Coturnix japonica: one gene and its partners. The protein of the gene in region 3 purifies or fractionates together with the protein of the main gene of each other region. This does not show direct contact. Links are inferred from orthologs where the notes say so. Each region holds a gene or a part of one and is shown on either strand. Other genes may lie near its edges.

The links.
Region 1: the proteins of CUL4A (region 3) and RBBP4 purify together in Homo sapiens (affinity purification with western blotting; 3 studies listed by BioGRID, with this or other methods). This does not show direct contact. The link is inferred for Coturnix japonica from reciprocal best matches to the Homo sapiens genes CUL4A and RBBP4.
Region 2: the proteins of CUL4A (region 3) and DCAF7 purify together in Homo sapiens (affinity purification with western blotting; 4 studies listed by BioGRID and IntAct, with this or other methods). This does not show direct contact. The link is inferred for Coturnix japonica from reciprocal best matches to the Homo sapiens genes CUL4A and DCAF7.
Region 4: the proteins of CUL4A (region 3) and LATS1 purify together in Homo sapiens (affinity purification with western blotting; 3 studies listed by BioGRID). This does not show direct contact. The link is inferred for Coturnix japonica from reciprocal best matches to the Homo sapiens genes CUL4A and LATS1.
Region 5: the proteins of CUL4A (region 3) and SNRNP40 purify together in Homo sapiens (affinity purification with western blotting; 3 studies listed by BioGRID, with this or other methods). This does not show direct contact. The link is inferred for Coturnix japonica from reciprocal best matches to the Homo sapiens genes CUL4A and SNRNP40.
Region 6: the proteins of CUL4A (region 3) and COPS7A purify together in Homo sapiens (affinity purification with mass spectrometry; 8 studies listed by BioGRID and IntAct, with this or other methods). This does not show direct contact. The link is inferred for Coturnix japonica from reciprocal best matches to the Homo sapiens genes CUL4A and COPS7A.
Region 7: the proteins of CUL4A (region 3) and FBXW5 purify together in Homo sapiens (affinity purification with western blotting; 5 studies listed by BioGRID, with this or other methods). This does not show direct contact. The link is inferred for Coturnix japonica from reciprocal best matches to the Homo sapiens genes CUL4A and FBXW5.

What each region holds. Positions count from the first base shown.
Region 1 is NC_029538.1:4,591,595-4,595,465, reverse strand, and holds the end of RBBP4 (histone-binding protein RBBP4), read right to left. Parts: intron 2,842-3,871; coding exon 2,765-2,841; intron 2,661-2,764; coding exon 2,603-2,660; intron 2,493-2,602; coding exon 2,382-2,492; intron 1,468-2,381; coding exon 1,402-1,467; 3' UTR 501-1,401; downstream 1-500. UniProt on the Homo sapiens protein: Core histone-binding subunit that may target chromatin assembly factors, chromatin remodeling factors and histone deacetylases to their histone substrates in a manner that is regulated by nucleosomal DNA.
Region 2 is NC_029542.1:2,165,924-2,169,423, forward strand, and holds part of DCAF7 (DDB1- and CUL4-associated factor 7), read left to right. Parts: intron 1-469; coding exon 470-679; intron 680-1,255; coding exon 1,256-1,373; intron 1,374-1,747; coding exon 1,748-1,920; 3' UTR 1,921-3,500. UniProt on the Homo sapiens protein: Involved in craniofacial development. Acts upstream of the EDN1 pathway and is required for formation of the upper jaw equivalent, the palatoquadrate. The activity required for EDN1 pathway function differs between the first and second arches.
Region 3 is NC_029516.1:123,900,109-123,904,272, forward strand, and holds the start of CUL4A (cullin-4A), read right to left. Parts: upstream 2,801-4,164; 5' UTR 2,746-2,800; coding exon 2,571-2,745; intron 2,229-2,570; coding exon 2,113-2,228; intron 1-2,112. UniProt on the Homo sapiens protein: Core component of multiple cullin-RING-based E3 ubiquitin-protein ligase complexes which mediate the ubiquitination of target proteins. As a scaffold protein may contribute to catalysis through positioning of the substrate and the ubiquitin-conjugating enzyme.
Region 4 is NC_029518.1:43,382,646-43,386,145, forward strand, and holds part of LATS1 (serine/threonine-protein kinase LATS1), read right to left. Parts: coding exon 3,469-3,500; intron 621-3,468; coding exon 470-620; intron 1-469. UniProt on the Homo sapiens protein: Negative regulator of YAP1 in the Hippo signaling pathway that plays a pivotal role in organ size control and tumor suppression by restricting proliferation and promoting apoptosis.
Region 5 is NC_029538.1:606,576-610,614, forward strand, and holds the start of SNRNP40 (U5 small nuclear ribonucleoprotein 40 kDa protein), read right to left. Parts: upstream 2,801-4,039; 5' UTR 2,748-2,800; coding exon 2,514-2,747; intron 1,803-2,513; coding exon 1,673-1,802; intron 1,368-1,672; coding exon 1,274-1,367; intron 258-1,273; coding exon 92-257; intron 1-91. Other genes in the region: ZCCHC17 (nucleolar protein of 40 kDa), read left to right, coding at 3,237-3,278, 3,544-3,601. UniProt on the Homo sapiens protein: Required for pre-mRNA splicing as component of the activated spliceosome. Component of the U5 small nuclear ribonucleoprotein (snRNP) complex and the U4/U6-U5 tri-snRNP complex, building blocks of the spliceosome.
Region 6 is NC_029516.1:69,466,888-69,470,977, reverse strand, and holds the start of COPS7A (COP9 signalosome complex subunit 7a), read right to left. Parts: upstream 2,801-4,090; 5' UTR 2,704-2,800; coding exon 2,542-2,703; intron 2,438-2,541; coding exon 2,362-2,437; intron 1,959-2,361; coding exon 1,870-1,958; intron 1,795-1,869; coding exon 1,592-1,794; intron 1,127-1,591; coding exon 1,021-1,126; intron 724-1,020; coding exon 572-723; intron 297-571; coding exon 257-296; 3' UTR 239-256; exon of another isoform or gene 1-238.
Region 7 is NC_029532.1:185,961-188,919, reverse strand, and holds the end of FBXW5 (F-box/WD repeat-containing protein 5), read right to left. Parts: intron 2,430-2,959; coding exon 2,183-2,429; 3' UTR 501-2,182; downstream 1-500. UniProt on the Homo sapiens protein: Substrate recognition component of both SCF (SKP1-CUL1-F-box protein) and DCX (DDB1-CUL4-X-box) E3 ubiquitin-protein ligase complexes.

The DNA of each region.
Region 1 (3,871 bases), on a different chromosome or scaffold from region 3:
GAAGGACCGTGATGGGGCTGAATGCTGCTGTTTGCCTCCAGAAGTGTTTCCTGCAGTGCCTGCTGTATTGCCATTCGCTCCCACGGCCACAGAAACTGAAGCCTGTGGATAAAAGGTTTCCCACTTTATAGTCTCACACTGAAAATAAAGGTCAGTTGAAGGATCTTTTTATTTCTCAAAGCCGTGTGTCAAAGAAAAATAAGCTTGTGTGTCAAATGGGGGCTGGGGAGGCACCCAAACGTTCACGCTTAATAAAATACAGAGAACAAACAAACAGCCACTGCTGTTCTGTGAGGGCTGGAGGCAGACCCAGGATGGAGGAGACCCAGGATGGAGGAAGGCACCAAGCCCACTGCATCCAACAGCAAAGCATGCAGCAGCACCCAACCCCTCACAGCACAGACTCCTCTTTCTCCTCCCCCTCTCTGCTTCCTCAAAGGCGATGGCTCACCCTCATGGAAACATCTAATGCAGAAGGAAAACACCGGCACAAAATCACATACGTAGAAAAAATTTATTCCATCTGAAGCACTTACACAGTTAGTGATGAGGAACATGAGGAATGGGCAGCTGGTGCAGTGCTGCAGGTGACTGGGCTGTGCCAGCCGTGGCGCGTGGCTGGGAAATGCTGACACCTTCACTACGCTGTGGCCCCAGAGTTTTTAAAACCATTTCACAGAAAGAAAGGTGTGAAAACACAGCTCAAGAAACACACAATAGAACAAGATGCATGAACGGGAGTGAGTGCAGGAATAGCTGCTGTACCCAAAGCACTGCCACGCAGGGGATGGAAGGGAAGAACTGAAAAACCCAGGGTTAGCAGTAAAGACAAAAGGAAGTATAGGAAAAAATACAACTCAGAACCTGCAGGTCGCTTTATGTATCTGCGGAGGCAGACAGCTGCACAGGCAGATATTAACTGAGGGAAGCCCGAAGCTTCTGAGCTGTACTGAAGAGGACGAGACCCTCCCCCCTCATTTCTGATCCACAGCTGGATTAACCCTGCACCATCTCCACTGCATCAAGAATTCTCTGGCAGTTCTGATTTAACTTCTGTTTAAATTAGGCAGGAGCCCGCAGCCATAACAAGCTAAAGACAGAAAAACAGCAACAAAACAGTTTGCTCTGCATGAGGAAGGCAGCTAAAATGGACTGGGCTGGCTCTGCACACAGGAGGTTGCTGTGGGAAATGTGACTGAGGAGCTGCAGCACAGCACTGGCTGAGCTGGACTAGAAGCCCTTTGTTCGGGGGGCACTGCCTGGGGTAAAAAGCACCGCTGATGGTTCTACAGAAAGATGGCTGAACACAAAGTCTACGTGTGTCTCAAAACCAGTGTTAAGTCAGTATCAGGGCTGAGAGGGAAGAGAAGGAAAAGGACTAGAAACAGGAAGGATCGTCATCTAAGATCCTTGGCCTTCGGGATCCACGCTTCCTTCTGGGTCTTCATCATTGTATATGTTCTCTGCCTGCAAGTCAAAGCACAGGAGCTGTAGAAGCACCTCCCATCACGTTTAACAGGACACCACAGCGTTTCAAAACGTCATGGTAGATTTTCATCTGCAGATGTTTGTCACCAAACCCCCGGGGCTTTTCAACACGGGCTGCCTTGCTTTGAAGTAGTGATGGACACCCAGAAGTACTCTGATACTGCAGCTTACGGGCATGCGACTTCTTAAAGCAGCGACCACAGCAGGGCTTGTTTTAATTGAGACTACTGTGCATACATTTAATAGATCCTTCACTTCGCAGCATCACTTGTCCTAAGCACTATACAGATATGCTGCCAAGACAAAGCCTCCGTGAACCAAACCATAAATAAACCAAAATTAGAAGCATGGTCTTTTCAAAGGTTATTTGAGCTGTTAGGGATCGTTCTCCAGAACTTTCAGCAGCTGGAAATTAAACCAGCACTCTTCTATTCACCACCACACTGCCCCAATGCAGCCACAGGGGACATCTGTGTCACACACAGAGAACTCACCCAGTATGACAGCAACTAAGAGAAACCTCAACTTCACGTTTGCAGTTGCTGTGGCTGGTGGTGGCTGGATGGAGTTTTGCTGCTTGTTTATGAGCTGATTTCTGTTTGGTTGGCTGGTGTTTTGTCTTCTTTTTTTATTTAACCTAGTTTTCATTCAAACATAGATGGGAAAATGTCCCTTCTACTCCACACACCACTACTTGGAGAAACACAAAACAGCTCCTCAGGATTTGTAAGCCAATTTCTACCCAATCTAAAACACATTTCACTGCCCAATCGAGATTTAGGCAGTGCTACAAAGCAAATCCTTCTGGGACCTGTAAATAAAACCTGGAATGCTGACGTTCAGGCAGTTCAATGCTGTGTCTTATCTACCACTTCCTGCAGTTCCCAACTTACCATTTGCCAGACTTGCATGATATTGTCTTCTGATACAGAACAGATAACCCAGGGCTCATTGGGATTCCAGGAGAAGTCAGATATCTTTGCAGTGTGACCGCCATGAATAAACTAGGAGCGAAGGAAATAAAAGAAGGGTGGAGGGGCAGTAATACTTTCAAATCCACATTGCAGAGATGAGTAAATTGGACCAAACAATTAATGAGGCTCAGAGTTCTTACCAACAGCTCTGGGGGACCATCCTCAGCATCCTCGGGGGACTGCTCCTCTCCAATTTTACTTTAAAAAAACAGTAATAATAATTGTGGGTTTGGTTGTTGCTGCTTGTGATGCAACTCATCAACATTATTTCACTGGTACAACCCAACTGATCTGGGATTTACCTCAGGTCCCAGACGTTCAGCCGGCGGTCAGTGCCACTGGAGGCCAATATAGTTTCATTGTGGGGAGACCACTGAACCTACAGACAGGAATGAATTTAGAAATGAAGTTAGTCTGAAGAGCCCGTAACACAGCACACTTTGCAACATACAGCGACATAAAGTGACAGCTTTATGAAAGCTCAAATCGTTATCACCTTGAAACAGAAACATTCCCAATAACAACATCCTAAGGATGCAAGTAGTTCTGTGTAAGCCCGTGTGCTAACAAAGCATCTGAGCACCAAAAATGGCTCACGTGCAGCCTCTCCTCTAACAGAGACCACAGAGAACAAACAGCCCTGAAGATTATTAGGGCTCCTCCAAGAGAACTGCACAAATGTAAACTCTGGATGCCTGAAATGGTAGGTATGGCTTACACATGAAAAGAAATCGCTGTAATTAAAGCTTAACTGCCCCAAAGCTCTCATTTACCATGACTGCTGGAGATAAATCTCTCCAAAACAGACCACTTAATAGGATCACAGGATTAGAAAATAAGACAATTCTTCACATTAGCCTGACATTTCAAGATTCTGAGCATGACTGCATTTAGAATTAACCAGCTTTTACGAAGCAATCCTTCGACAAAAAAAACCCTTCCACATATTTTTGTTCTGACTACTGCATGAGCTGGAGATGGAAATATTCTATCTGCTAAGCACATGCTACCAGTGATGTTCACTTTCTATATTTACACCAGCAAAAATCAGCTATTCTTTTTTGACACAGGATGGTCCAGCAATCCCTTTTTTAGGGGCTGACACCTCAAGGCTTCCTGCAGGACCAAGCTGGGAAGATGAAAACACTGCGGCCATTCCACTGTGCTTTGCTGCTTCAAATCTGCTGCCATGAATAATTCACATGTGCTGTGTACTGCTAGTATTTCACCCCTAACACTGGATGAAGCTCTCAGCCATTCCCTTGTTACCTTCGGCCCCAGCTTTCTGGACACTCTTATCTGCGCTGGAATTCTCCCCCACACAGAAAGCTCCACAACAATAAACCAGAAAATTATAAGCAGATGAGAGACAGGAATGAGGTTTTTAAGCACAAGTACACTTCACAAAC
Region 2 (3,500 bases), on a different chromosome or scaffold from region 3:
TTAATTATAGGTAAAATACAGTTTTAATGTATTACAAACTAATTAAAGCTGTTCTATCAGCTATCAGAACTACTCTGCTTACTTACCATAGAATCTGGACTTGAGAATATATTTGTTTTACAAGATTATGCTACAGAATATTTTTGGAAGAATCAAACTGGAATTGTAATCAATTGCGTATCAAAGGCAATAAACATCTTACAGGATTCTTTCATTTTAATGTAATATCTGAATCCAGAAAGTACCTATGTTCTGTTTCAGTGAATAATCCTGTAATTATACAACTTGTTTTTTCCTCTCCCTTTGGCTTAAGAACTTGCTAGGAAACTCAAGTATTTGACAAAAAGTATTACAGTAGTAGTAGTAACAATTTCTTCTGTCCATATAGGAAATGCATTTAGCTGTGGATTAGGAGGCAGGATGCTCACTAAAACCCGGGTTGTTTTTTTTCTGTTTTGGTGTTGAGCAGGTGTATGATATAGCATTTAGCCGTGCAGGTGGTGGGAGAGATATGTTCGCTTCGGTTGGTGCAGATGGCTCAGTGAGGATGTTTGATCTCCGTCATCTGGAACATAGCACCATAATTTATGAAGACCCACAACACCATCCATTGCTGCGTCTCTGCTGGAATAAGCAGGATCCCAACTATCTTGCCACAATGGCCATGGATGGCATGGAGGTAAGGCGGTAGTTCTGCAGAAGGAACAAGGCAATTTGAGGGAGGTGGTTTGGTCATTTACACTTAGTTCTTAAAGTGAAGGTGCAGTAAGTGGAGCATGAGAAAGGCCAATTCTTGTTGCAGTAATTTCAGTAGGAGCTAGAGGTAAGTTTGGCATTATAAATGTGAAGGTCTCTGTGCCCCCCTCTATATTTCAGTCAATTTATGAGGGTTCCATGAGCCAGTTGGGCAGCAGCTCTCACATAAAACAGTAAGTGTGAGTATTTTAGTCACCTTGTTCTTTCTCAGCTCTTTGCACCAGGCAGTGTACCGTAGATTTTTACCTGAACTGCTTCAGGGAAGCATGAGTCACTTTTTTTTTCATAACTCACAAGCGTCCTATGTGAGGTCTGACTACTTCTGAAATGCACACAACATGCTGACCAGCTAGAAACTGTTCTTTCAGAACAATGTGTGCTTGCCAAATGCATCCTTTTGGAAGGTATTTAAAGCCTTAGTTCAAAACTCTTTGCTCTCTGGATGGGATGAGAGATGGAAATACAAGTTATTAACTTAGCTTGATTTTTGTTTCTGAAGGTTGTGATTCTCGATGTCAGAGTTCCCTGCACTCCTGTTGCCAGGTTAAACAACCACAGAGCATGTGTAAATGGAATTGCTTGGGCACCTCATTCTTCCTGCCACATTTGTACAGCAGGTAAGCATGGAAAGAGATTCTTGGTCACGCTCTTACCGTCTCTGCTGGTGAGCCTGGTGCTCTAGCTGTGCATCTCCTTTGGCTAAGCTGTTTTATTTCAGTGCTGCTGAACTTATTTTGCAATTTAGTTCTGAAGTGTTTGCACTTTGAGTTCCACCAATTGTGTTTTTAACTTTGTCCTGGATGACATAATTATCCAAAGATGTGTACGAGTTCTACTTGGAGAGCAGTTCTATCATTGTATCTGTCTCACTTTCTTATCTGAACTGCAAGGTCTATATTCAAACTAGCTTTTTACTACACCCCTCTTAGTAGCCATGTATGGACATCTTGTTGTGCTTTGATCCCACTTAGGATTTCGTTTTCTTTTGCAGCGGATGACCATCAGGCTCTCATCTGGGACATCCAGCAAATGCCTCGTGCCATTGAGGACCCTATCTTGGCCTATACAGCAGAGGGAGAAATCAACAATGTACAGTGGGCATCAACTCAGCCAGACTGGATAGCTATCTGCTACAACAACTGCCTGGAAATTTTGAGAGTGTAACACTACTGCTTCATGCCTAATTGAGGCAGGGCTGTATAATTTCCCCACCCCTCTAAAGTAAGAACAACACAAGTCAAGTGGCCAGTATCTGTTGTTGCTTTGCATCTACTGTTCCAAGAAACTGTTACAAGAATCAATGGCAGGTGTCTCCTGTCTCTCCAAGACTCTAAAATGCAGAGACACGCTGAGCCTCTTGGACCTTTTGGGTTCTGGTTTTCTTTGTTTTTGTTTCCCTCAGTTAAAGTTCTGTATATTTGTTTGTTGACTGTGTTAATAAGCTTGCAGGCTTTAAGTTGCTGCGTATGTCCAAGTGTTTGTCAGCTAGCCAGGGCGGCACATCTACCTAGTTTAATAGATGCAAGTGCAAAACAAGGTGGGGAAAAAGATGGTAATGTTAACAGCCACCTTGGCAGGAATCTTTATCATTCCTGTTGTTGCTGCCTCTAAACTGTTTAAACATTTGTATGTTTTTTATATATTGGGCTAACTTTCTATTGAGTAAGGCTTTTCTCCCGAATTCTTACTTTTGATATGTGATCCACTTCCATATACCTAAAGCAGGATATCTTTGTTGATACAAATCACAAAACAACACTGCAGGCTCCCTGGCAGTAAAGGCCTGCCAGAACTAACTGTTGCCTTGGCTCTCAATACCTGGTTACTTGGTGCTGTGAAGTACAAGTACTTGTTGCACAATTTCTTTACACTTCTCTGATGCTAGAGGCAGCTGCTACTATGGCAGGCCTTATTTTTAAATAAGAACTGCATTTACTGTGTGTCTCCTGCAGTTGTGGTAGCTAACAGAACGGTAATGGGTTTCAGACGGAAGGTATTTGCATGACTTGAGCTCCCTCTGAGGGAAATGACTTAAGAAAAAAAATGCTATTTGTAATAATGGACTCTGGATTGACGTTTCCAATGAAATGATTTCCCCTTAGAGGGCTTACGATCTGAACCAAAATAAAATGGTTTCACACTTTGTAGCTTGCTTGATTAGCAGATAACACGAGCAAGATCTTGTGGTTAACCAGTGCCATGGAGCTTCTTTGCATTTGTTCTGTGTTCCTGGGAGTTCTTGAAAGGAGGACCCTTTTTTTCCTAAACATGTTTGCTTTGTACTGTCGGGTCTTGTTGAATGAATGAGATGAGGTGGAAGAACTCATCCACCATCCAAATGAAAGCTGTTTCTCTGAAAGAAATAATTCCCTAATGTAATGCTCAGAAGACAGATTTCAAGTGAAAGAAACAGTGCCGCAGAGGCTATAGTTCGGTGCTTGTCATCCTTGTGGTTATTTGAGATGCATCCAAGGGCATCTGTTTCTGTTTTGAATAGTGGAATGCTTTACAGTAATACACTGCAATCAAAGCTGAGTGGATTAGACAAGATAAAAATCTGTACTGAAGTCTTAATATAGCACAGGTATTGAGATAAAAGCTCCACAGTGCTCTTCTTCCAATGAAGACATGACAGCTGTAGCTGGTCCATGGGGGTATAGCAGCTGAGTTTTGATGGAAATGTCAGAAACGATCAGCGCTGTCTTTCTACCTGATGTATATTCACCTGCAACTGCAGGCAGCAT
Region 3 (4,164 bases):
AAAAAGCTGTAATAATAATTATCTCTTCTATTATGACATGAGAAAGACAGCACTGTAGGCTCTTCACCTACACAAGCCATGTATAAGTTTCAAATAACCACTTTAATGGCTTGTTTTGAGCCGAGTCCTCTGTTTAGTAAGCTAGTTATTGCTGCTTGTACTGTTTCCTCTATCAGTTCTAATATCCTGAAGAGCTTATCTTCCAAAACACACAAGATGGAAACAAGCAGGCATTACATGATTACTTTGTTGTTTATGCTGGTTTTTAACTTCAGTCTTAGAACAGGTTACGTGAGGTGACCTCTGAAACAAACAGTGATCACACAACTGTTGGTCAGATATTTGGTTATGCTTTCTAAGACACAGCCTTTCCTACCCACCCACACAAAAGTCTGGTCCAGATTCAAAGCATTTACTTTCTTCCCCCTTTACTGCAACAATGTTCTATTCCGTGCCCTCAAGAAGGGCAGCTGCTGCCCTATTTCAAGCTATTTAGGATCTTGTTGCAAAGGGAATTCTCTTTTCCCATTATTTTTATCACTCGCTCCTCACTCGGCAGTTCTTTGCACTGCCCCACTTTCTGTAGCCCATCAAATATCAGCCACTTCCACCCAGATCCAGGCAATCTACCACCAATCCCAGACATCACTTCTATTTTAGTAGCAAAAATTGGCTGCCACCCTCCTATTGCTCACTGCCTCTGCCAAGCACCTTTGTGCTTTAACCCATGCGGCCACTGCCGCTTGGGAAAGACTATGCTTTGGGCTTCCCACCAGGCCTTGTTTTTAACTCTGCCACCGTGCCAAATTAAATACATCAATCAAGAAGTTCCAAGGCAGGCTGGGGTACCACTGCCTGCTGCACTGAGCCCCAGCAGCCTCTCTTCTCCTGTCATGGTGCCAGATAGAGATGCACATAAAGGAGCACTGCCATAGAGAAGCAGTACACACACTGATATTTTCCCCATGGATGGCTCTGTGCTCACCAACCGAGAGTTACAGCGACCTGTACATACAGGTCAGCTTTCCAAAAGATGCTGAACTTCCTCTTATTCCTTTGGCAGAAGGAATATGTATGTATGTATGTATGGGCATGTTCACAGCCACCACCCACCGTACAGGAATCTTGCTGATTTGCACCAATGACTTCCTGACTGCTGGGCTGTCCTTACAACACGCACATTTTTACAAACAGAATAAGCAAAAAGCACAGTTCTCTCTTTACAGCTTATCTGAGATCTCCCTCCTCCTCTACTGCCAAAGCTCAAGTCCGTGCCCCGGCAATTTCATACCCATATTACTATAATCTCTTTTCTGAGCCTCTGAAAACAAGTTAGGTAACATTCAAAGCATCTGTGTTTTTCTAGCTGGGCATGAAAATGCAGGATTTCTCAAACGCTCTATTTAAAACCATCAAATGTATTATGTAAATCAGATTCTGCAAACCTATAAGTATTACCAGACACATATATATCAGTCCAGCTTGAAGGCAGTATGTTATATTAGGTCAATATGCCTTCACACAACGAGCCGTTCTGATGCCACACATTACACTCCATCTAATGACACAGAGAAGTCACTTCAGCTCTGAGACTCACCCTGCTTGTTAACTTCAGCCGCGTGGCACAACTTACAGCATCAGTGATGTTTTATAACAACACGAGCAGTGCGATTCTTGCCTTCATTCTCCAAAGAGCACTGACACTGAAGTCTCAGCATCGTAACAAATACTTTTAACGCTGGCTACTCTCAAACACCAAAGCATGAACCAAAAAAGCCATTGTAAAACACAGACACTGCAAAGCCCAGACAGAGCAAGACCCTAATTTCAGGATCTGGAGCAGGCAGAGTGTTGGGGTGGCTGGATGCCCAAGTGCAGCTCTCAATACCTTCCAACACAAATTGCTTCTTCATGGGCCCAGACCTTGAGAACTCTCCTAGGAGCAGCGAGAAGCTGAGGCACAACACTGTGAACTGTCTGGAAACACAGAGCGTTCTGGAGATAATAACTGGCCTTTAACGAGTCAAAAATACATCTCTGCTTGATCTGAAGCCCTGCGAGTCTCCATTTTCCACATTACACCGAAAGAAAACATCACCGTACGGGTCTTACCTGGTAGAGCTCCTCGAGGTTGTACTTAATAGAAGTGCTGCTCTGAATGGCTGCCACCGCCTCGTGAAGTTTGTGCCAGGTGTCCTGCGTGTAGTTATCGGGCAGCTTGGGCCTTTCTGCGGGGGAACACGGAGGCGGCTGAAGGCGGCCCGAGGCTCGGGCTCCCCGCAGCCATCTTCCTCCGCTCAGCCCAGGGGCGCTCACGGGGCACGGCCACGGGGCAGGTCGCGACCCCACGCGAGACGGCAGCGCCCGAGCGCGTCCAGGCCCGTGGCCTCCTCCTCCTCCATCCTAATGCGGGGCCACCCCAACCCCGCGGCCCCACGCGAGACCCCGGGATGCGGTTAGGGAGCGGCGGCAGGTTCTCCGCGTCCCTGTAAGGCGGAGCGGCCCCCGCGGTAAACAAAGGTGCGGAGAGGCCGGGCCCGGCACCTGCCGCCGCTCGGCCCCGCACCCACCTCTGAAGTTCTTGATGACGAGTTTCTTGGAGGAGGCGGCGGCAGCACCGGCCGAACCGCCCCCGCCGCCTCCCCCACGCGTGGCGGCTGCGGCCAGCGAGGCGGGCTTGGTGAGCCCGTTGGTGTGCCCCACCAGGGCCGACAAGTGCGGCTTCTTCTGGGCTTCGTCCGCCATCTCCGCCCCGGGCGCCGTGTCCGGCCGGGGCAAGGCGCTGCGCTGGGCTGGACCGCCCGGTCCCCGCCTCCGCTCTCCTCCTCCTCCTCCTCCTCCTCCTCCTCCTCCGCCCGCCCTTCTTCCCTCCCTCCCTTCCTCCCCCACCTCGGGGCGGCAGCCCAGCCCTTCCCGCCAGCTTCACACCGAGCGTCCCCGCTCGCAAGATGGCTCCCGGGACGGACGGCTACGGCGGACTCTCGGTGCGAGCCTCTTACAGACAACCCGTGGGGAACTTTATTCAGCTTTTTGGAACAGATTGCCAAGGAGCTGCCGTCCCTTCTTCACAAGGCAGGCACTGCGGCCCCCGGAGCACAACGGTCCGCTCCCATAAGGTCTTGCTCGGCAGAGAAAGACCTGGGGGTCCTGATGGATGAAAAACTCAACATGAGCCAGCAGTGCGCTCTGGCAGCCCGGAAAGCAAATGGGATCCTGGGCTCCATCAAGAGAGGGGTGGTCAGCAGGGATAGGGAGGTGATCGTCCCTCTCTACTCGGCTCTTGTGAGGCCCCATCTGGAGTACTGTGTCCAGGTGTGGAGCCCTCAGTACAAAAAAGACATGGAGATTTTGGAAAGGGTCCAGAGGAGGGCCACAAAAATGATCAGGGGCTGGAGCACCTCCCCTATGAGGACAGGCTGAGGGAGTTGGGTTTGTTCAGCCTGGAGAAGAGAAGGTTGCGGGGTGACCTCATTACAGCCTTTCAATACCTGAAGGGAACTTACTCCCAGGAGGGGAGTAAACTCTTCGAAAGGGCTGACAATAGCGGGACACGGGGAAATGGTTTTAAGTTGAAAGAGGGAAGATTTAGGTTGGATGTTAGGGGGAAGTTCTTCACTAGGAGAGTGGTTAGGCCCTGGAACAGGCTGCCCAGGGAGGTTGTGGATGCCCCGTCCTTGGAGGTGTTCAAGACCAGGTTGGACGGGGCCCTGGGCAACCTGATCTAGTAAATGTGTATGTTTGGTGGCCCTGCCAGGCAGGGGGGTTGGAACTACATGATCCTTGAGGTCCCTTCCAACCCGGGTCATTCTGTGGTAAGCACAAGCTGACACCGGACCCCGGTACGACCAGCACGCTAGTCCCTCTGCTCCCTCCTCCCGCCGCTCCGCCCACTGACGTACCACACACACCGATGCACGTGCTTTTATACCTAACGCGCGCTCTGGCCCCGCCCACCGCTCTTTTCCATTGGCTGCCTCGAAATAGACCACGCCCCCAAACGGCTCCGGTGACTACGGGAAGTACACGGCGAGTGCCGGAAGTGCCGCTGTGCGCCGCGCCATGGCGGGGAGGTTAGTCAGTGTTTGGGTTGGGGGCGGTGGGGGAGGTGCGAGCAGGAGCACGGAGACAACGGGGGCAGCCCCGGCCCGGCCTTCCTCACAGCGA
Region 4 (3,500 bases), on a different chromosome or scaffold from region 3:
ACCCCCCTGCCTGGCAGGGCCACCAAACACACACATTTACTAGATCAGATTGCCCAGATTGCCCAGGGCCCCGTCCAACCTGGCCTTGCAAAAGGATATACAAGGATATTGTTTAGGCATTGTACTGAGGGACACAGGTTAGAAGGAAATATTGGTGATGGGTGGACTGGATGATCTTGGAGATCTTTTCCAACCTTGGTGATTCCATGCTTCTAATACTTAGACAAAATGCTAAAAGCAATCAGATATTTTAAAAACAAGTCTTAAATTCACACCAAAGACACTCATGTTTCAGAAGAATTCTATTATACACTTCACAAATAATCTTCAAAGCAAAATCCTGTATCTCAGCACCTCCTCTCTTCTACTCTGAGCACACGACAGAGAGTGCTAGGTTCTAATTTGCTATTTTGTATTTTTCACCAGTAAGAACACAGTTAATGAGTTGAAGTGCCACAGATGCACCTACCTGGTGGTTTCATACCTGCATTTACAGGTCTTGCTGCAGCTGCAACCATCTGCTCCCGACGAGGATCCTGGTAGCTCATTTTACTAATAAATTCGATGGCTGCTTCTATACTACGGTTGTTAGTTTGTCTGAGGGCTTGTATAACCATATCCTACAGGGAAAATTAAATACAAAAAGTTACTCAAAATGGCAAGAATAATAAAAATCACAAGAATTTAGCCAAATATCCTCCAGTAATTTTACAAAAGTACATAATGACTTCTCTCGATCATCTTAAATATAAGATGACAATGTTTTCTCCACAACAGATCCTCCAAAGAAATTAACAGCCTGCATCTTCTGAAAAAACAACTATATTCTGATATTAACTGTGTCACCATGCTATTCTTATAGTTTGTCTGTCTAGGTATTTATTTGCTATATGCATTACTCAGATAACAGCTAGAGCTCCCACCTAACTTAATTTATTCTATAAAAGATATTCAGATGTGTTTCAGTATTTTGGCATTTGCTCATTTTTCTTCAACCTGGAATATCAACAAATATCCTTTAGCTTCTCCTCAAGTATTTTTCACTAGTAAATATCACAGTATCATCAGAAATCCTGTTACTTTTGTGGTGGGGATTTGCTGCGTCCTCAAGAGATCCAAAGAAAAGCTTTGATCAGATGAGCAATCCCAGGTTTGTCAATGGAAAATGCATCATAGATCCGCGGTGTTTCTCTGGACTTGAATGAGACTGAGGTCAAGAAACAGGCGATCGAAACAGTCAGGCACTCCTCTCCCATTTTTATTGAATGGTATTTTGCAGTTGACTTAGAATGTGAAAAAAATATACAGAGTGACTCCCTTTAATTAACCGCTCTGCCTTCCAGTGATCTGTTATGGCCATACTTTGTCATACCAAAGCCATCATTTCAGTTCACATTATTTTCGAACAAGTCACCAAATTACAGCAGTATATGGCAGGAGGGCTGGAACTGGATGATCTTTATGGTCCCCTCCCAGGCCAAGCCATTCTATGATTCATCTGCCAGTGAAATCAATGGGAAATCCAAAAGGGCTCGGAAGGGAGGAGGGCTCAGAAGGGAGGAGGTCAGTATCAATTTCAAATTCAAACCCACATTTATACTTCCATTACATCTGTATGTTTTTGGCACTGCAAATGTACAAAATACGCAGCCTTCAGAAATGATAACAAAATGAACAAAACAGAAAAGTATACATACACACACACACACACATATATATATATAAAACAAGATAGCCCTGATGCTTACAGATCAGGTGTACATTGCTAGATCAAGAAGTTACAACATTTGATCTCACAGCTTCTTCATGAGACACTTACACCTGCAACATTTCAACTTGATTGCATCCAAGAACAAAAGGTTGGAGAGCAAAAGGCTTCAAGACACAAAGGCTCCAACAGAAATACCAACTTGAGATGGTTTTCTAGTTTACTATCCAGCCACAAACCATCCCACAGCTTGTGAAACTGACTGGAGACCCATTCTGTAAAAATGGATACGAGAGCTAATCTATTGTAAAAACCAAAACCACTCCAGCAGCAAACCACAGATAAGGAACAAATCATTATAAAATCATTTGTCATTATAAAACCCTTCCATTCTTACTGCAAATCCAGCTTAATCTTTGCATTTGGGCAAGCCGGAGGAAAGTGCATTTTTTTCCACAAGCAGCACCTGATTCTGGGACATTACTGAGGAAATGCCAATTGACAGAATTACCCAGGTTGGAAAAGATCATCAAGTCCAACCGCAGCCTAACCAGTACCCTAACTCTAAAAACCTTCCACTAAATCATATCCCCGAGTACCACATCCAAACGGCTCTTAAACACATCCAGGGATGGCGATTCAACCACCTCTCTGGGGAGCCTATTCCAGTACCTAACCACCCTTTCTGTAAAGAAGTTCTTCCTAATATCCAACCTAAACTTGCCCTGGCGCAACTTGAGGCCATGATAGTAGAATTATGAATTTACCTTCTTGTAAACTTCAAAGTCACGGCTGGAGAACTGTTCCTGAATGAAACCAGATCCCTTCGTGTTGTGTGGGATTTTAGTTGATGATACGATACTGACTTAATAGTTACATTTCACACTCATAAGGACTGCTTGATTGTTTGTAACTTCTAATTGTAAACAGTGGAGAAATGTTCCCCTTCTTTATAAACTGATCTGCCTGTCTTCCCTATTTTCTTTTAGGAGGAAGAAGTACTGCCTATCTTTCCCACAGCACCATTAACCAGTCTGTAGTAAGTGCCTGGCTAAGCAACGATCCAACCAAAGACCGAATGGAAATCACCAACCTCATTCCAAATCAGACTTTGTCTGTGAATACTTTAGATGTTTTGGGAGCGTGCCTAGTGTACGGTACTGATGCAGAGGCTATTTATGTCAACAGACAACTTTTTGCATGAAATTCTTCCAGTATCCCTTTCAAGTGCTGATTAACTACAGAGAAATGTTGTCCGTAGCTTTGGAGATATTCGCTCCCCTTAACCTAACCTCCCTGTGAATACCAAAGCATCACAGAACATTTTTCCCTCACTGGCTTTCTAATAACAGATGTGAGAAGGCCATTAAAATTTGTTCCTGAAATACGTGCTATTGCCTATCACTTTAGGATGGCCATACTATCAGCGTATTTTAGTTGTGCACAATTTAAAATCCTGTTGAGTATCAAAGGCAAAATCCATGTTCTGAAGTGTCCACCTCTCTCTAAAACGATTTACAGAATTAAAACAACCCCTACCATGTAAGAACACACTGAAAATGGTGCAAAAAAATGAAAAATGCCTCTTTAAATCTGTTCCCCTTCTTCATCCCAGCTTCATTAAGTTCTAATTAGAACTCTGCCAGATTTCAAAGCTATTTTGCCCATCATATGCTGTTTAAACATTCCATGACCAACACCTCATCCAACACACTCTGACAGTTTTTAGAACACTAAAGCCTGAACATTAAATACTTCACCTCATCAAAGCCAGCAGCTTGTAAGTCTTGCA
Region 5 (4,039 bases), on a different chromosome or scaffold from region 3:
TCCAATCAGGAATTCCCAGATTTTAAAGAAAAATATGAGGGAACAAGGCAATTGAATAAAAGATTTCAGTAACTAATCTCCTTATACTGACCTTCACTGTCCCATCATCACTGCCCGTACAGACAAGCTGAGGTCCTCGCCTTGCTGGGTAGCAGGAATTCACGAACGAGGTATGGCCCTTCAGCCTCTTTACTCTCTCTCCAGTCTCACTGTCCCACACAGCCACAGTCTTGTCTGTGGATGCTGAGAAGAGCATGCTGTGGAGAAGAATCACTGTGAGATTCTCAATGTCAGAAGCTTTTCTCCCACCCTATTTTCTTACTCTCCAGACTTGATGTCAAAGCTTGAAATATTGTCAGCGCGCCACTGAATCAGACATTCATTCTGGTTGAAAAGATCATGTCCTGTAACTTGTCACCTGAAAACTGACATCCTTCTTGCTACAGCCACCTTTCTTGATACAGCTGCTGAGGGAAACTAAATTGTTTTGACTGGAGGAAAGGTGGCTGGCAGGATATCTCACTGCTCTCTACAACTGCCCAGATCCTTTCCCACACGTCACCCTTCCAGCCACTCTCCCTGAGCCTATACCACTGCATGGGGTTGTTGTGATCCAAGTGCAGTACCCAGCACTTAGCTTTGTTGAACGTCACATAACTGGACTCAGACCATCAACTCAGCCTACCCAGATCTATCTGCAACACTCCGGCCCAACTTGGTGTCACCTGCTGGTTTCATGGTGGTGCAGATCTGATGAAGATCTGATAAAGATATTAAATGAAATTGGCCCCAGTACTATTAAGAACTATGCCCAACATGCAAAGACAACTGTGATCTTTCACAGCAGGCTGATTGGCAGCAGAACAAATACAGAGGAGGTGCTTTCACCAAACCCCATTTCTATATAAAATTACAGATAGGATTTCTGACTCTTCAGACACAGTCTGTGATGGGAAGAGAGAAAGAAAAGTCTAGCAACCTCCTGGTACAGATGCATGCGTGTTTTCTTTCCCTTGTTAAGCAACTACAGTTCCTACATCATCAACATGAGCACTCAGATTTCTGAAGACTGAAGCCAAAGGTATTTATATGTCACAAGTGGCTCCAGAGCCAATGCTCAGCTCCTAATCTGGAACAGTAGAAGTGTTTGTTGCAAGGGCTGCTGGCTGGGCTGGGGCAATGAAGAGGTGCTGTGCAGGGCTCTGGCCAGCAGAAAACATCTTCCCTTAGAAACAGTGGGGAATGGGCAGGAATTTACCAGCGTACCCCTTACCTGCCATCCGTGTTATAGTGCAGCTCCATGACCGCCCCGCTGTGTCCCTTCAGGGTGGCGTAGTTATCACAGTCCCCATAGACATTCCATAGCACTAGAGAAACAGCACAGAGGAAAGTGGACAATATAATACATCTAATTCAGGCTGAGAGATCCACAGCCCGGAGAAGGCTGTAGGGGGGTGTGATAGCTGCCTTTCAGTATCTAAAGGGAAGCTATGAGGGGAGGTGTGATAGCAGCCTAAAGGGAAGCTATGAGAAAGAAGGGACAGATGTTCCAGCAGGATCTGCTGTGACTGCACAAAGGAAAGTGGTTTCAAACCAAAAGATGGGAGGTTTTAATGGGATATAAGACAATGATTTTTAAATTAGGGGTGGTGAAGCCTGGCCTGCTACTCACGGATCAGCCTGTCAAAGCCAGCAGACGCCAAGGTGTTTCCTCCAGGGTGGAACTTGCAGCAATACACCTCTCCCTCGTGCCCCGACAGCAACATGATGGGCGCCTGCAGCGAGGAGCAGCGCGGGGGACCCTGCGGGAGAACAAGGGGAGGTGAGGGGGATCCGGAGCAGGGGCACAAGGAGAATCACAGAATGACCCGGGTTGGAAGGGACCTCAAGGATCATGTAGTTCCAACCCCCCTGCCTAGCAGGGCCACCAAACATACACCTTTACTAGATCAGGTTGCCCAGGAGACCCCATAGATCCCCATAGAGACCCCATAGACCCCCCATAGATCAGGTTGCCCATGGCCCCGTCCAACCTGGCCTTGAACACCTCCAAGGACGGGGCATCCACAACCTCCCTGTGCAGCCTGTTCCAGGGCCTAACCACTCTCCTAGTGAAGAACTTCCCCCTAACATCCAACCTAAATCTTCCCTCTTTTAACTTAAAACCATTTCCCCGTGTCCTGCTATTATCAGCCCTTTCCAAGAGTTTACTCCCCTCCTGGGTGTAAGTTCCCTTCAGGTATTGAAAGGCTGCAATGAGGTCACCCCGCAACCTTCTCTTCTCCAGGCTGAACAAACCCAACTCCCTCAGCCTGTCCTCATAGTGGAGGTGCTCCAGCCCCCTGATCATTTTCCTGTTCCTCCTCTGGACCCTTTCCAAAATCTCCATGTCTTTCTTGTACTGAGGGCTCCACACCTGGACACGGTACAACAGATGGGGCCTCACAAGAGCCGAGTAGAGAGGGACAAAAGAGAAGGTCCCCTCCGTTCCCGTCCCCCCTCACAGGCCTCACCGACTGCACCAAAGCACCGGCCGGGGGCTGCCCGCCGCCTCCGCCCCCTCCTCCAGCCGCAGGTGGGTCATGGCGAGGCCGCTTGGCCGCCGAGGGCACGAGCGGGAGATCGGGACCCGGAGCGGGGCCGGGTGCAGCGCCGGGAGCGGGGCCGGGGCCGGGAGCTGGAGCTGGACCCGGTGCGGGGCCTGGCACGGGGCCGCCCGGCGCCTTTCGCTTCTGCTGCTCGATCATCGCCACGGGCCGCGCGCGCCCGCCTGCCCCCCCATTGGCCAACAGCGCGGCCTTCTGCAGAGCTGATTGGACGAGCGCTTCCAGATGTCCCACCCTCCTCTCTTCTTCCTTCCGTCGCATAGAGATGACGTATAAACCGCGCTTGATCGCGGCGCGCTCCTCACACGGATTGGCCGGGCTGAGGCCGGAGAGGTCAAGGGGTGGGCACTAGATAACATGAGTCACTTCGATTGGCTGCGCTTGTCTCCCGCCAGTATCGCGCGCGTTGATTGGCGGGCTGAAGACTCCCCTCAGGTGAGGGCGGTGCGGAGGAGGCCTAATGGCGGCTGTGAGCGTAGAGTGAAGCGAGTTAGAGATGTTTTGTAGCGGGTCCGTCTGATCTCCATATGGTTTTCTTCCTTTAAGGCATCTTTAGGTCTCATGCTGTAGTTGGAGGCGGCTGGCAGATGTCGTAGGCCCCGCAGCGCGTCACCCCCCGGCGCTGAGGCGATGGAGCCGCTGCCTGAGCTGTACGCCATCTTCCAGGGCGAGGTGTGTGCACTGTGTGTATATCACATATATATGTATATATATGTATGTATATATGGCACCGTGTGTATATCGGCCTCTATAGGATGCCTGTCTGCAGAGCACAGCAGCAGCTGGCCCCATATGATATAGTTATATTGGCTCCAACCTGCTGAGGTGCCCGGAGTTGTAGCAAATCACACGAATAATCTGGATGTTGTGTGTGTTCTATAGTGAGAATAAATGTTTAAAGGCTTTCGATTAAATGCTGTGTTGGTTTTCTTCACAGGTGGCTGCTGTGACGGAATATGGGGCGTTTATTAAAATCCCGGGCTGCAGGAAGCAAGGTTTGTTGCTGTGGTTTCATTTGGACTTGGTTACATGTTGGTGTTGAACAGTGAAGCAGGAAACTTAAAGGTAGTTTAGAGAAACAAGTAAAGGAAACTTAAAGGTAACAAGTAAAAGAAACAAGGGGCCTAGGAGAGCAGGGAGGTTGCAGATAAGGAGTGAGACCTCACAGACGACCAGAAGAGGAGTTGCATTCCCCCTGATAAGAACAAGAGGGGGTCTGTATGCTAAAGAGCTATTGAATATGGATCAGAATTCCTAGAACTACTGACTATGTATTAGAAGTTTAAGAAATCATTGAATATGTATCAGAATTCTGAGAAATCATTGACTATGTATTAAATGTACCTATATCTGTGTCACGATTTTACAAGTCGGTGTGCAAGTTTGGTGGAGCTATCCCCCTTGCACCCGGTGCTGCGCAATGCTGGAATAAA
Region 6 (4,090 bases), about 54 Mb from region 3:
TGATGGAACCTTGAGGGGTAGGGGAAAACAGCAATGCATTCAACTGGAAGCTTAGAGTGTGAAATGTCATGATTAAAAGGTGGGAAGCACTGCCCAGAAAGGAAGTGAAGAAGACAGAAAAGAGTACATGCAGGAGAATTAGTTGGCAAGACAGATCTCAGAGATGAGCTCAGAAGCATCACACTTAGTAGATGGAGGGGTAGCAAGAGTCCCAAGTCTCTTCCTCTCACCCTCCCACCTGTGAAGGGAGATCCAACTAGTTTGATTTAGACCAAATCTTCGCACTGCCCCGGAGCCTGCGGAGAGAGGAAGAAGTTTTAGACTGGACACTAAACTTCATCTCTGACTTCCTTTTCTAAGCGTACACAGAGAACAGCTGGCATTCAGGGAAGGCTTATGAACTGTGCTTCAGATCAAGAGCTGCACCCCCTGAATTAGCCAGAGGTGGAGGTCAGCTTGGACCATTCCAGGCCTGGGGTGTAGACCCCTGCAGTGACCTCAGTGCTACAAAACAGAACTCCCCTCAACACACATTAGGCAGTGGCTACGTTTGTTTGCCACCATTCCTCACCCTTTGGCTTTGGAAGTCTTCTTGCTGGTCTGGCGCTGGTTGGTGCCAGGGGCAGGTTCCCTGAGCTCTGTGAGGTGCTGTTCTGGGTCTTGAGAGGTGGCTGCTGCAGCAGCTGCTGTTGTCACTTTAATTGTCTTCTTCAGATTCGCCACCTGCAACAGCAGTAAAACAAGAACCAAGGAATTTCTCAAGTTATTATCTTTTTTTCCTCCTCCCTTTTATTTTGTCCAGAGCTTTGCACTGCTGAGAAGTGCTTAAGTGACTCCCAATTCTTCCTCAAGCATAACTACCCCGGAGGGTTTCAGCCTAGGGTAATGCCTTAGCCCTATATAGTATATATACTATACTATAGCCCTCGAACAAGGGCTATAGTAACAACAGGGTATTGGTTCCACTCTTTCTTTAAGCAAGGGGTAATGCCTCCTCCTCTCCCTCTTCAGCCCACTCACCTCACTCTCTATCTGCTGCTTAAGTGCCAGCTGTTGTTCTTTGTGTTGGTTGGCTCGGCTAACCTGTTCTTCAATGCCAGACAAGACAACCTCGCAGCCCTGGCACCTGTAGAGAAAATGTTAAGCTGAACAGGACAGGTAATTGGTACTGCAGGGAAAGAAACATGAAGATGACTGGTTGAACTGTAAAGACCAATAAAACCTGGAAGGTAACAGCTACTCTAGGCAGGGTAGGCACAGGGGTGGCAGTCCAAAGCAATAATGTAGTGACATTATTACCTAGGAGGGAGACACATAACAAAGCGGCACTAGGTTAAGAGCTACAGATGTATACTCAGAAAGACTCTTGCCAGCAGCTGGAGCTGGATGCAAAAACTGCTGCTCCTTTCCTCACCCCTCCAATGTGGAAGAACGTTGGATAGTGGAAACTATTTTCCACTGCCATTTGGGAAAGGAGACAGAGGTCACTTTGCTACGCTGCCCCCCAGCAACACACAAAGGATGATCTGGTGAAGCCCCTGACCACTCCTGCAACCTTTGAAGGTGTTAGTATGGGCGGCTTCCTCCTCACCACTCCTGCAATGTGCGGGTGATGGTGCTTAGCTCCTCCCTCCGGATGTCCCTCCCAATGCTGTAATCCACCTCCAGGCGTTGGTTCCGCTGATCCAAGCTCCCTCGCAGCACATCTGCATACACCGCCTCGATCACGAGGTCCTCTAGCTGCCGGACGTTCTTCAGCTGTAACTGCTCCAGCAGCACCGAATAGGGGATGCACTGCAGAGACATGATGGTAACTAACACAAGGTAAACTCAGAAGAAGGAAAACTAGAGGTAAAATAGGGGCATTACCTTGATCTTTGCAGCCAGAGTGACGACCGACAGGTGCCTCAGTTTGTTCTTCTGAGCCTCTGTCAGGGGAGGGAGGTTTGCTGCTTCAGCTGTTGCCAAAGGGAAGGACGGGGCATTAGAATTTATACCTCATGTTCTATTTCCCAGTCCCGCAACGGAAGCATTTGCCCCAGTCCCATTTCTCAGAACTGCATCACAACGGCTCCCAAAGTGATGCTTTGTCTTAGCAGGCCGTCACCATTAATCCACAGCTCAAAGGACCTTCACTGAGCAGCCTCTCCTCCGTTTGAAGCCACCTCCCCAAGCTGTCCCACACCTTATTTATGGAGACCTCTACATCCCAATGAATCCCCCAGTCCTCCCCCCACCCCTCGCAAACACCATTGCCCAGATGTTTTTGGACCCCTCCATGGCCTCCTCGGCCTCACGCCCAAACCCAACCTCGCTCCCAGCTCTGCGGCTTAGGGCACGATTCCCCAAGCCCGACCTCACCCAGGTAGTCGGCGTAGGTGCCGTAGGCGAAGATGGTGAGCAGGTGGAAGACAGGAGAGAACTCGGAGTCGGCCAGCTGCGGGACAGAAGGCGAGTCAGGCCACACCGCGGCCCAGGCCCAGCCGCGGGCAGGGCAGGGCAGGGCACACGGCACAGGGCAGGGCACAGGGCAGGGCTCACCTCGCGTACGGCCGGCATATCCAGCAGCTCCCCGAAGACGTAGATACCCGGGGCCTCCAGCACCTGATGGATGAGGCTGGCGAGCGCGGCGCCGCGGGCGGCCTTGGCCAGCAGCAGGAACTGCTCCTGGCTCTGCCCCGTCACCTTCCCCTCGGCCGCCATCCCGCTGCCGGGCACTCGGCCCCGCCGCGCTGGCGTCCCGCAGGCCCCGGCCCCGCCACCGGGCGCCACCTCCAGCCCGCCCCGAGCCCTCTCCTCTATGGCGGCGCCGTCGCAGCCCGCCCGCTTCCGGGTGTGACGCCGGGCGGGCAGAGTTTGGGGCGCCCCCTGTCGGAGGAGGACTGCGCGGTGCAGCGGGCAGCTCACGGTCCTGGCCCGGGGTTGCCGTCCCGTCCCGGCCCCGCTGGGCTCCTCGGAGCTCGGGGCCGGGCTGGAGCTCGGTCTGTACGCTGAGGCTGCCGGCGTGAGGGGAGCGGCGCTGGGAGGGCCGAGGTGGAAGGCTGAGTTATAATGGTGGCGGCCCCGCCGCTCGGCTGGAGGTCACTCGCCGCTCACAGTATCGCTGTGGCTGGGGCTGTGGGGAAGGGCTGTGATAGATAGCGAGGCCTGCGGTGCTCCTTACGGCGGAATGAAGGAGGAGAAGGGCTGACAAGGTGAAGCAGGGCAGCATCAGTGCAAGGTACAACCACCACCTTCCTGCCTTCACCTCCCTGTCCGTGTGCTTCACCACGCCCTGACACCTGACGCACCCACCTACAGCGGGGCAGGTTGTGTTCTGACCAGGTCTAAGTGTAGCCCTGCTGCTCTGTAGCATGTCTTGCTCTCTCCCCCACCCCCTCACCAGCTCCTTCCATCTCAGTTTTATCTCCCTATCGATCTGTTTCTCTCACACTCTCTGACACGCTTGCTGCCTTTCATTATTAGTTCGATAAAGCGAAGCAGCCCGAGCATCCCAGCTGCAGCAGCCTCCCTCTGCACCGACCCCGGGTCTTGTGTGCTCTTTGCTGGGTCACCACAGTGTTTCTTCTCTTTTGTCCTGCACGGAGCTAAAATAAGGGCAAGGAATGAATCACTACCCGAGCTCCCTTAATGAGAAGGCCATCATCATCTCTGAATATGCAACCACTCGTGTGAGCGCACGGTGTCTTGCCCATAACTTAGCAAAGTCTTTGTTCATCCTTAGATGCAAAATCAAACTGGCTTGTCAAAACGCTGCCAATATTTTGATCTCTAGCCCTTCCCCAAACATAGTCCAGATCTGTGATGATTTTTCACAACTCTATGCCACAGAGTCCTGGGCAAAAAGCTTGTAAGGACGAGGGAGGATGGGGCAAATCTCTTTGCCAGACAACGTGATGGGGAAAGTTTTTAACCACGTAACTTGTACTAGGTTAACACACAGGGTGGTAAGACCTGTGCCTAGTTACATCTAGGGCAGCCTCACACCTATTGCTCACAAAGGAGTTTAAGAGGACGGTGCCTGCGCAGTAACTCTTATTCCCATGTACTCTCACAGCCCTCGGGAATTTGCAGATCAGGACAGACAGCC
Region 7 (2,959 bases), on a different chromosome or scaffold from region 3:
ACAGCAAAGTGGGTTTTTTTTCCCCCCTTTGTTCCTTGATTTCCCCCATCTGACCACAGCTACGAGGGAACACCCACCTCAGCCTGTCACTGTGAGGGAGCTTTTCCTTGAGGATGGTGTGTGGTGAAAAACTCTAATAAAAGCAGCGTGAGGAGCTGCTGTGCTGTGTAACTCACAGGCTCCATCACTGCATGGGGCTGAAGAGGCAGTGCCGGGCCAGGACAGCAGCAGGGCTGTGCTTGGTCTCCTGCTGCCACACTGCAGTCCTCACACTCTGCCCCATGCCCAGGGCTGGGGCTGTGCCCCTGTGGGGTGAGCTGCCCCCCAGCTCAGCTGCTTTCCTGCAGGCAGGGCAAGGAAGGACACCAAGGCAGCACTGCCCAGATCCCGTCCTGCAGCTTCTTCTGCAAGGGCTGCAGCACGTAGAGCAATATTGAACTTCTGGCTTCAGTTTTGCTTCTGTAGAAAAAATAGTACTAAGAAAAACAAACTTACATTGCCAAGATGCTTTAGCAGAGTATTTATTCAATGCCATGGTGAAGAGCAAAACTTGGTACAAACATAAACCCTCAGTGCCTTGCTCACTACTGCACCGCGCCAAGGGAGGCAAACAGGACTTGCTATCTTGGGGCAGGAGGGAAGATGTAGGAAGGTGGAGACTGTTCTGTTGCTGTGTGAGGGGACCAAGAGCTGGGTCTAGGATCTTGAGTGCACACCCATATACACACACACACACACACACAAAGGACTCCCTTGTTTCTAGAAGTCCTGTGATGACCGAAAACCTGAGTACAGGGGTTCTGGATAAAGCCATGGGCACCTGCTGGGTGCAAGAGAGAGCAAGAGAAGGGTGTGAAACCCTCTTGCTGAGGGCTGGAGGAGCTGTTAAAGCCATCAGTGCATATTAAGACAGCAGCCGCTGTCTCCATGAAGCCTGTTTGCAACCTGAGGCTGTGAGTGGCACAGACACCTGCCCTGCTGCTCCTGAGCTGGGGGGCCCAGAGCGTAGCAGCAGGTGCAGCCCCTGGGGTCACTGCTGGCCTGGGAGCTTCAGCTCCCCCTGTCTGGGCCAAGTGGAGATTAGGAGCTTAATTTTAGACTCTAACAGTTGGCTGAAGGCTGGAAAGAGAAAAGCTTCAGGGACAAATACAGAGTAAACAACACTGAGTTCATAAAGTGAGCCAGCTTCCCCCATCAGAGGAGCCCTCAGAGGGAGCTGATCACCAGCCCCCAGGTGAGTCAGCCCTGGTGGAAGGAGGTTTATTCACACTTATGGCTGCACCTCTGCCTGTTCACCTGCTCACAGAGAACATACCAAGAAAACCTAAAGTGCCACAACTCAAGTAGGGAGGGAGGTGACCATGAGACCCATCATCACAGTTTACCCCCTGGAAGGGACAGCAGAGCCCCTGGAATAAATATGTTACCGATGCCATAGCTTATTCAGGTGCTACAGAACAGGGGAAGACAAGGGCAAAGCCAGATCGGCGTTACCAGCAGCTCTCCCCATTCTCAGATTTGTAAACTGATGGTATCAGGATTTAGTTGTAAGAGAAGGCAATGGCAGGGCAGCCCTGCCCCTCCAGCTCTGCCCCAGCACTGCCTCCCCCGCTGCCTTTTCAGCCTCTGATCCTTCCTGCCATCCCTTTGTGGCCCAAACACTGTGTGGGGCGGCACTGGGCGCACCCAGCATCCAGACAAGTTGCCCATGGAGATTTGGGACAAACAAAACAATAATAAAACTACTATATTAAAAGAGACCCGCAGTAAGGCAGCACAGCACTGTACCACTGCTTGTGCAGGTGCTCTGTAGCCAGTAGCTCTCAGTGAAGTCAGCCACGTTCCAGGCCCACACAGTACAAACCCTGGAGACGCGCCTCAGTCTGTTCTCAGAGACCAAAGCTCACCCAGAGAGCTGTGACCAAGTAGCAGCGTTTGTGATAAGCTGTGGGGAGGTTACCCTGCAGTGACCACCGGACCCAGGAACTGGTCCTCAGCCCTTACATTCTGTCTTTGAAGCAGACACTCCAAGGAGGAAGCCATTACCACTGCCGAGGTCCCTCCAAACTCAGCTGACAGGATTGGTGTGCTCAGAGCTCGTCTCCGCTGTGCAGGGCTCAAAGCACCGCAAGCTCCAGAGGTGGCCGCAGTGAGGAAGCTGCAGGAGCAGTTATACCTGGGTTCAGCTTTTCTGGTTCATGAGCCAGGAGAAGAGCAGTTTCCTGGGCCTGGGCTTCCTGGCCTGCTGGATTCGCACGGTGCGAGGGGAGCGCCACACCTTGATGGTGGTGTCATCGCTGGCTGTCAGCAGCAGCTCCTGCTCCACTGGGCTGAAGGCCACCGAGTTGACAACGTTGTCGTGCTGCAGCTTGGCCAGGCAGATGTTATAGTGTCGGTCCCAGATGTAGCCATGGCGATCTTCTGCCCCGCTGCAGCAGACAAGACAGCAGTGAGGACACCGGCCAGGCAGGCTCTGCCTTCTGCACCCAGCGCCCTGACCCAGCCAGGAGCCCCAGCCTCCATCTGCAGTGCCATCACCCACAGACACCCACCCTAAGGGGGCAAACCCCCTTTGTGACCCAGGCCCTGCTACAAACACAAGTAGGTTTCCAGAACTGGAGTCTGAAATGAGGCCTCACAGCAGCATCAATTAAAGCTCTGGAAATGCAGCCAGACTCACGCTGTGGCACCTGCAGCAAACCAGCCCTGTTCTGGGCTGCAGTGAGCCTGCTCCAGCCACCCCAACTTGCCCTGTAACACCTGCAGCCTGCAGCCCTCAAGAAGGGCAACTGCCACCCACTGACAAACAAGCCACAGCCACACATTTCCTTTTTCCTTGCTGATTTCACAACAGGACCAGAATAGACATCCTGCAGCAGCACCCTCTGACTCCATCCCTGCTCCACACAAACCTCCTATTTCCTGCTCTGCTCACAGCAGCCTCCCGCTCTCGGACCAG